Coturnix japonica: one gene and its partner. The protein of the gene in region 1 interacts with the protein of each later gene in a pairwise test. Links are inferred from orthologs where the notes say so. Each region holds a gene or a part of one and is shown on either strand. Other genes may lie near its edges. The genes, in order: PSMC3 and PSMD9.

What was found.
Region 2: the proteins of PSMC3 (region 1) and PSMD9 interact in binary tests that used the Homo sapiens proteins (3 or more experiments, as listed by UniProt). The link is inferred for Coturnix japonica from reciprocal best matches to the Homo sapiens genes PSMC3 and PSMD9.

What each region holds. Positions count from the first base shown.
Region 1 is NC_029520.1:20,410,909-20,414,045, forward strand, and holds part of PSMC3 (26S proteasome regulatory subunit 6A), read left to right. Parts: intron 1-155; coding exon 156-281; intron 282-1,540; coding exon 1,541-1,645; intron 1,646-2,269; coding exon 2,270-2,332; intron 2,333-2,758; coding exon 2,759-2,896; intron 2,897-2,999; coding exon 3,000-3,137.
Region 2 is NC_029530.1:4,891,348-4,895,876, forward strand, and holds PSMD9 (26S proteasome non-ATPase regulatory subunit 9), read left to right. Parts: upstream 1-1,573; 5' UTR 1,574-1,575; coding exon 1,576-1,728; intron 1,729-1,802; coding exon 1,803-1,905; intron 1,906-2,199; coding exon 2,200-2,387; intron 2,388-2,945; coding exon 2,946-3,047; intron 3,048-3,195; coding exon 3,196-3,284; intron 3,285-3,612; coding exon 3,613-3,640; coding exon of another isoform or gene 3,641-3,699; 3' UTR 3,700-4,290; downstream 4,291-4,529. Other genes in the region: HPD (4-hydroxyphenylpyruvate dioxygenase), read right to left, coding at 1-60, 126-168, 261-365, 646-708, 1,183-1,209, 1,313-1,315. UniProt on the Homo sapiens protein: Acts as a chaperone during the assembly of the 26S proteasome, specifically of the base subcomplex of the PA700/19S regulatory complex (RC).

The DNA of each region.
Region 1 (3,137 bases):
TAATTTGATGACTGTTTCTATTTTTATATTACTCTTTAGCTCCATTGTCTCCCCTGCCTTACATTTTTACAATTATTGTACTCCCAGAATAACATACATTGTATGTTTCCATGCTGTTGTGATTTCTACCTCTTTCTTCTGCATACTGATTCCAGATCATGAAGAGCGAAGTGCTGAGAGTGACCCACGAGCTTCAGGCCATGAAAGATAAGATCAAAGAGAACAGCGAGAAGATCAAAGTGAACAAAACTCTGCCGTACCTGGTCTCAAATGTTATTGAGGTGAGTGCTTTTCTGGAGCAAAGAGAGAAGTGTACATTTGTGTCAGGGAGGAAAAGTGATAGGAAGCCCATTGGTAATTGGAGACACGGTGTTTGACAGACTATTTCTGATCCTGAAGTCAAGTCACTTCTGGGTTTTTCTGCTGGTTTTATTTATGACCTGGCATTGTATATCACTTGCCTGCTTCACGTCTGGGTCATTTCTTGGGGAGGTATTAGCTACTGGGCTTCTGTACGTAACACAGCTAGTGGAGGTGACACAGCCCCACTTAGTGTAGACCTGAGTAAATGAAATATAGCAGGGTGATTGAAAGCAGTGGGTCTGCTACTTGTAAATCTGTACTCTATTGCCAGCTTTGCAAGAAGATGAGTTCTGCAGTTAAAACAGCAGGAGTTAAGAAACACTAATCAAAAAGATTTTTAAGAGTTATACAGAAAGAAAGAAAGAAGAGAATGGACTGGAATTAACAAATTTTCAGGTGGTTTTCTTCATAACTAATACACATCAGGTGGCAGTCCCTGCACACTCAGGGACTTGCCAGCCATGTTGCAGCTTCTGTCCCTTAACTGCACTGGTATTTTAGGATAAGAGGTAACGGCCTCAAGTTGTGCCGGGGGAGGTTCAGGTTAGATGTTAGGAAGAATTTCTTATCAGAAGGAATGGTGAGGCACCCAGATGGGCTGCCTCCATCCATGGTGGTTTTCAACAAGTGTGTGGATGTTGTTCCTGGACATGGTAAGGACGGGCTGACGGTTGGACTTGGTGGTCTTACTGTCTTCTCCAACCTTTATCATTCTGTGATTTTATTCACAGCATCTTCTTGTCCCTGCCTGCACTGGTTGTTTTAAGAGGTCAGCTGAGATAACTTTGCAAATCTTCTGAAAGTGCAGATGTAACACGGTGTCGTTTTTGTGAATCAATCTATTTATCTGATTTTATTTTATTTTTTTAAAGCATAGGCAGTTCTCAACTTTGGAAAACAAGGATTGGTTGGTATCAGTGTTTTAGATCTTAATGTAAGTTGCTGTAAGGAGAAAAGCAATCGGTGCCTTTAGCTGCTGCTTTGTTCTGGGCTGTATAGTGTCTTTTTCTGTGCTGCTGCGTGAGGAAAGGAAATGATAAATATTTATAAGGTACTTCAGTGCTTTCAAGATTCTACTGCAAATAAAAATTCCTGTTTCCATTTTGCATACTCCATGTAACTTAGAAACCATTAGTCTGGTTACATTATAGGGAAGATTTTTTACTCTGGTTTTCAGCTATTGGATGTTGACCCCAATGACCAGGAGGAGGATGGAGCGAATATTGACCTGGATTCCCAGAGAAAGGGCAAGTGTGCTGTCATCAAGACCTCTACACGGCAGGTAAGGGCCACGTGTCCAGTTAGGTGTGAGGAGCAGCCAGAAGTTACACTGGTCTGTTACTTGGTGAGGTTGGTCACCTCACAAATAGGGATGTAGATAAAGCAGAGATGTTTAATGCCATCTTTGCCTCTGTCTTTAACACTTATGATGGGCACTGGGGCCTCCAGAGCCCTGAGGTGGGGGACAGTGACTAAAGGGAACGGTCAGCTCCCAGGCAGCTCTGAACTTTGGGATTTGCTGCTCCAGCTGGATGCATATAAGTCTATGGGGCCCAATGGGATTCATCCCAGGGTACTCAAAGAGCTGGCTGATGTCATTGTGAGACCTTCAGGAGTATTTTTTCAGTGATGCTGGGAATCTGGAGAGGTCCCAGTTGTCTAGAAGCTGCCAAGTATTGTCCTAATTCTCAGGAAGGGCGACAAAGAAGGGCTTGGTATTGACAGGCCTGCCACTGCCTGGTAAAATCATGGATTTTATTCTGGAAATTACTGAGGAATACTTGAAAGACAATGCAGTCATTGGTTACAGCCAGCACAGGTTCACAGGTTCTTTGATTCTATGAGTGCTGTAAAGTTCCTTGTCCCAGTACAGATGGCTTTGCTTACTGTAATGCCTGTCTTGTAGACATACTTCCTGCCTGTTATCGGGTTGGTTGATGCTGAGAAGTTGAAGCCTGGAGATCTGGTGGTGAGTGTTGTTGTTGTGACTGTTAGCTGTGATGTTGGCCAGAAAATTGCACGTGCCTTTTCCTTTAGAAGGGACACCATCGGTTCAGGTCTTGCTGAGATCGCTTTTGTACTAAAATTTGGATTTAGAATAACTGGCTGCAATAATATTTGTAGTATAGAAAAGTCATGTTGGAGAGCCTATTTCTACAGACAGTTAAGTGCCCAGAATTTAGCTGTCTACCTGTTTTATTGGGCCTCTTCCTTCTAAAATATGCCAGACCAGTTGTTGTGTTGTCCCCCTTGCCAAGCTGTTGTGATCTGATGAATGCTAGTATTGGAGCTGGTCAAACCTGCATCCTGGAGGTCTAGTGGATCACCTCTGATTATGTGTGCTTTGATTGCTATCTGAAGGGCCTGGTAAAAGCAAAGAACTCGTGTGTTGTAGGGTGTGAACAAGGACTCTTACTTGATCTTGGAGACTCTGCCTACTGAATATGATTCACGGGTGAAAGCCATGGAAGTGGATGAGAGACCCACAGAGCAGTACAGCGACATTGGAGGGCTCGATAAACAAATCCAAGAGGTGATACCAGTGTGAATGAGGACAGCAGGCTTTGAACTTCCTAAACGGGGCAGCCTGGGTTTGTGAAGTTTGGTTTTGAGTGAACATTTTTCTTTTGCTGTAGCTTGTGGAGGCCATCGTCCTGCCCATGAATCATAAGGAAAAATTTGAGAACTTGGGTATACAGCCTCCCAAAGGAGTCCTTATGTATGGGCCTCCAGGAACAGGGAAGACGCTTCTAGCTCGAGCGTGTGCTGCCCAG
Region 2 (4,529 bases), on another chromosome or scaffold:
CCACCTCGAAGGCCACGTCCTTCACACCATCCCCGTGCTTCACCATGTGCTCACCCATCTCTACCGACAGCCAACGTCAGTATGGGGACACTGCACAGCGCCCATAGCCCCAGCCCCAGACCTACCCTCATTGCCTGGATTGAGCGGCGACGAGAGGACGAAAATGATCTGGGGTGGAAGAGGATGGGAGGAAGGAAGAGTTAGTGATGGGAGGGAGGATCCCACCAGCTCTGCTCAGTGCATCCCAACACACTGCACACCTTGTCCTGCTTGATGACGTGTGACACCACCTCCCTGCTGCCGGTCTCCAGCCCGCGGTACGCCAGCTCCTCGAAGCCCAGCTTGTTGCAGTAGTAGGAGGCAGCCTGCAGCACAGCACGGTGTGTGCATGGCTGTGCGGTGTGTGCGGGGCCATTGTGTGCTCCCAGCACAGCCGTACAGCCCGTTCTGTGTGCGGTGACGCGTTTTTGCTTTTCCTTTGCATTTTTGCCCTGTGTGCACCCCCTGCATCCACCCCCCACCTTGCGCAAGGGCCCAAGGCCGTGGCCCCTGGCCAGGGCTGCTGTCAGCACACACACACACATACATGGCCCCACCATCCCCTGGCAGCCAATGGCCACCGCCGCCAGCCCTGCGGCCCCCTACCTGCTTGGCATTGCCCACCCAGAAGGTGATGGAGTGGAAGTGGATGAAGCGGCCTCGCTGGTGCTAAAGGGAAAGGGAAAAGAAGTTGTACAGTCCCTCCAGATGGAACTCTTCCCAATGCAATTCCTGCAGGTGCACCCAGTGACATGGATGTCACCATGGCCCCCCGCCATGATGATGTTTTGGAGTGTTTTGCATGCAGGCTGTTCTGCACACAGCGTTGGCTCCGGTCACATGGAGCAAAGTGGCTGCAAAACACCCAGTTGTCAGCCTGGAAGTGAGCCCAGGGGCATCTGGTCCTATAGAAACACGCAGTAGGAGGTTTGGGGTTTGGGGTTTAGGGTTTGGGTCACAGAGGAGGAGATGGCAGCTGCAACCCAAACCTGCAGCCTGTCCTCACTAACCCGCAGCGTTAACGATTCACCCGGCAGCAAAGCACCCAGCGCTGCTCCACCGCCACACTGAGAGCACTGCAGGGCAGCCATGGGGCAGCCATGGGGCACAGGACGGGGTGTCCCCCAGCAGGGAACCACTCACCTTTTCCCCTTTGTCCGTGTACGTCGTCTGCAAGAGAAGCGGGACAGGCGGTGAGTGAGCGGGCACTGAGCGCTCAGCGGGGCCGGGGGAAGCGTGTCCCCCATAAACGCTCCGTCCTGTGCCCGCTCACCATGATGTGACCCGCAGTGACAGCAGCACAGAACGCGACCCTGAGCGGGGCTGATTGATATAGAGCACAGCGGGGCTGATATAGAGCACAGCGGGGCTGATATAGAGCACAGCGGCTCCTCCTCCCACACTGCCCGCCCCGGGGGCACTGCCCGGCCATGGGGGCATCACCTCAATCACCTCCATCACCCCCCACATGGACACCCCCCCCCCATCCCCGCCCCCCGTTCTGCCCCCGCCCCCTTTGCTCTCTGTCCCCGCCCCATGTTCTCTCCCCCCGCTGCGTCTCTTCCTGCCGCCGCCATGTCGGATCGCGGTGGTTGCGGCTCCATGACTCTGAGCGAGGTGCAGCAGCTGGTGCGGCGCAAGGACGAGCTGGAGGCGCAGATCCGGGCGTGTTACCAGCTGCTGGACGATGTGAGCGGGGCTCGGGGCCGGGCTCGGGGCTCGGGGCGCTGCCGAGGGTCTCACCGCGGCCTTTCTCCCCTCAGCAAAAGGGCGTGGGCATGGACGGGCCGCTGGTGGACAGCGAGGGATTCCCCAGGGCCGACATCGACCTGTACCAAGTGCGAACAGCCCGGCACAACATCGCGTGTGAGTGGGGACGGGACGGGAGCGGCGTGGGGGACTCCTCAGGATGAGAAAAGGGGCTCGGGATGGACTTAGCGCTGCCTGCAGCCCCTAAGGGATGGTGCGGAGGGTGGGGTCGGCCTCTGCTCCGGGTAACAGCGATAGGACGAGAGGGGGCGGCTGCTCAGGGAGGTTTGGGGGCGTTCAGGAGCTGTGGGATGTACTGAGGGACGTGGGGTGGGTTGTGGGCTGTGTTGGGCCTTTAAGCCATAGCGATGCTGTGATTCTGCTTCTTACTGAGCTGGGTGCCACCCGCAGGTCTGCAGAACGACCACAAGGCGCTGATGAAGCAGGTGGAGGAGGCTCTGCACCAGCTGCACGCCCGCGAGAAGGAGAAACACGCCAGGGATGAGGCGGAGGCGCGAGCTGAGGCCATGAGCCAAAATCTGCCAACTGCCTTTGCCAAAGTCAACGTGGTGACACCAGAGTCACCCGCCAGCATCGCGGTACGTTGCTGGGGCTGCCAGTGGATGGGGATGGCTTCTTTTGTGCTTAAGAAGGGGAAATAGGGGATGTGTTGCTTATTTTCCTCTGCTAACAGGCAGGTATAAGCTGTGAGATACTGATTATTGTTATTATCCCACTCACACTTTCTTCATTCTGTGTTTGTCAAATATTCATTCACCTTCTCAACCAGTGCAGTTATTCTTGAATGTTCCCATGGAGGGAGCTGCCCGTTTGTGGCCGTGTCACTGGTTTGTCCCTGTGAGCTGGTTTGTCCCTGTGTTGGGATCAGAAATTGCATGTTGTCTGCTGCATCGTAGCACCACGCAGCTCTTACAAGGCTTATCTGTTCATTGCAGCCTCATTGTTTTCTCATAAAACAGAGCAGAAAAATGAGTGTGCCCTTGTTTCTAAGGGCATGGTATGATGTTCAGTTGTCTGAATGGTGAGAAGGGTGGTGTCCTAGCACAGCTTGTGCGGCTGGATGAAAGCTCCTGTGAGCAGGCAGTGTTACCTGTCATCACAGAACACAGACGTTCAGCTTCTTTCTGTCTGCCCAGGGTCTGCAGGTTGATGATGAGATTGTGGAGTTTGGTTCTGTCAATGCAAACAACTTCAAGAGCCTGCAGAACATCGCCACAGTAGTACAGCATAGTGAAGGGGTAAGTTTGGTTCTGCTGTAACTGCGTTCTCTTATCTCTCCCAATGAGTTACAGCATTTGCTGTGGAACGGCCAGAGAAGCTACCACAGCCATTGGGCTCTTCATAATGGAAATGAGAGAGCTCATCTTCTTTTTTTGCTTCTCCCAGAGACCTCTGAGTGTGACTGTGATCCGCAATGGCAAGCAAGTGCACCTGGGGCTGACTCCGAAGCGCTGGGCTGGGAAGGGCCTGCTGGGGTAGGCTGCCAGTCGGAGTGGAGGGGGCTCTTATCAGCTCAGGGCACGTCTCCTGCAGGAGGAACCAGCTCTGCTTCGCTCTGTGCTGCTCTGATGTGTCTCACAGGCAGAGTCCAGCTGAGAGCTGGGGTTGTCAATTTGGTACTATACGGGGTGATGAGTTGTATCAGTCATGGGTATGGGGCTGAAGATCTCAGTGGCTCCTTCCTATAGTAGAGGAAACCAATGGAGGAGGGTTGTGGTTGATCTGATTTGTGCTGTGTTGGATCATCTAAGCTTCTTTCGGAACATAGATTTAAATGTTTTCTTCCCCACTCTTCTTTTTCAGCTGCAATATCACTCCATTGCAAAGATGACCACTGCTGGGAAGACAATAAAGATGAAGCTTGTGCCTGCTTTCTGGACTCTGATTTGATTTGAAAGCTTGCCCTGTGACCTTTGTTTTTGCTGAAATGGGTGTTTCAGGGGCTGTGACCTCTGGGTGGCTGAGCTTGCAGGGTCTGAAGAGGTTCTGATGGAGCAGGACCTTAATGCAGTTGGAATTGCGCTGGTTTGTGAGGAGCAACTCACAGAGTTGCAGGAAGTGGCTTCTCATCTCTTTGTGCCTTGCGTCAGTTTGGAGTAAGGCTGCAGTGTAACTTGGATTTCACTTGATACAGATTGGGAAGAACATAAAGTGCTTTTACTTGGTGACAACGTGGCATTCCTTCATTTTTTCCTTGAAATTCCTCATTTGAACATCCTGTAAAGCAGGATACAAAGACCTGGAACAATTTTTCCTTCTTTAACTTAGTAGAACACACTCAAGAAACACACAGATCTGTTACTTTAACTCTCATGTGTTCATAGCTGCTGGAAATCACCAAATAAGAGAGCAATTTTGGAGTACCTAATTATTTTATTATGTTAATTGTTAATTGGGGGGATTGTTCCTGTTTGTAAGGTTGTTTCCAGTTGAACTTTGAAGTATTCATCCCGATGAATAAAGCTGAGTGGTGTCTCTCTCCCTTCTTGTGGAAGTTGCTGTTTGGGGGCTGTAATTGCAGGTAGGTTAAAAGTAGATCTGCAGAGACATGAAATCATTCTTCCCTGACCTTCCACAGCCAGAAATTGGTCTGGTGAAGCAAAGCAGGTTGTAGTTGTAAGCATGTGGATGAATGTTGTACTGCAGCTCTAGTGTGAGACCAGCTGGAGCTGGGCCTTGGCCATGTGTGCTCAGGGTATGTCTGCCTACCCCATGTGTGC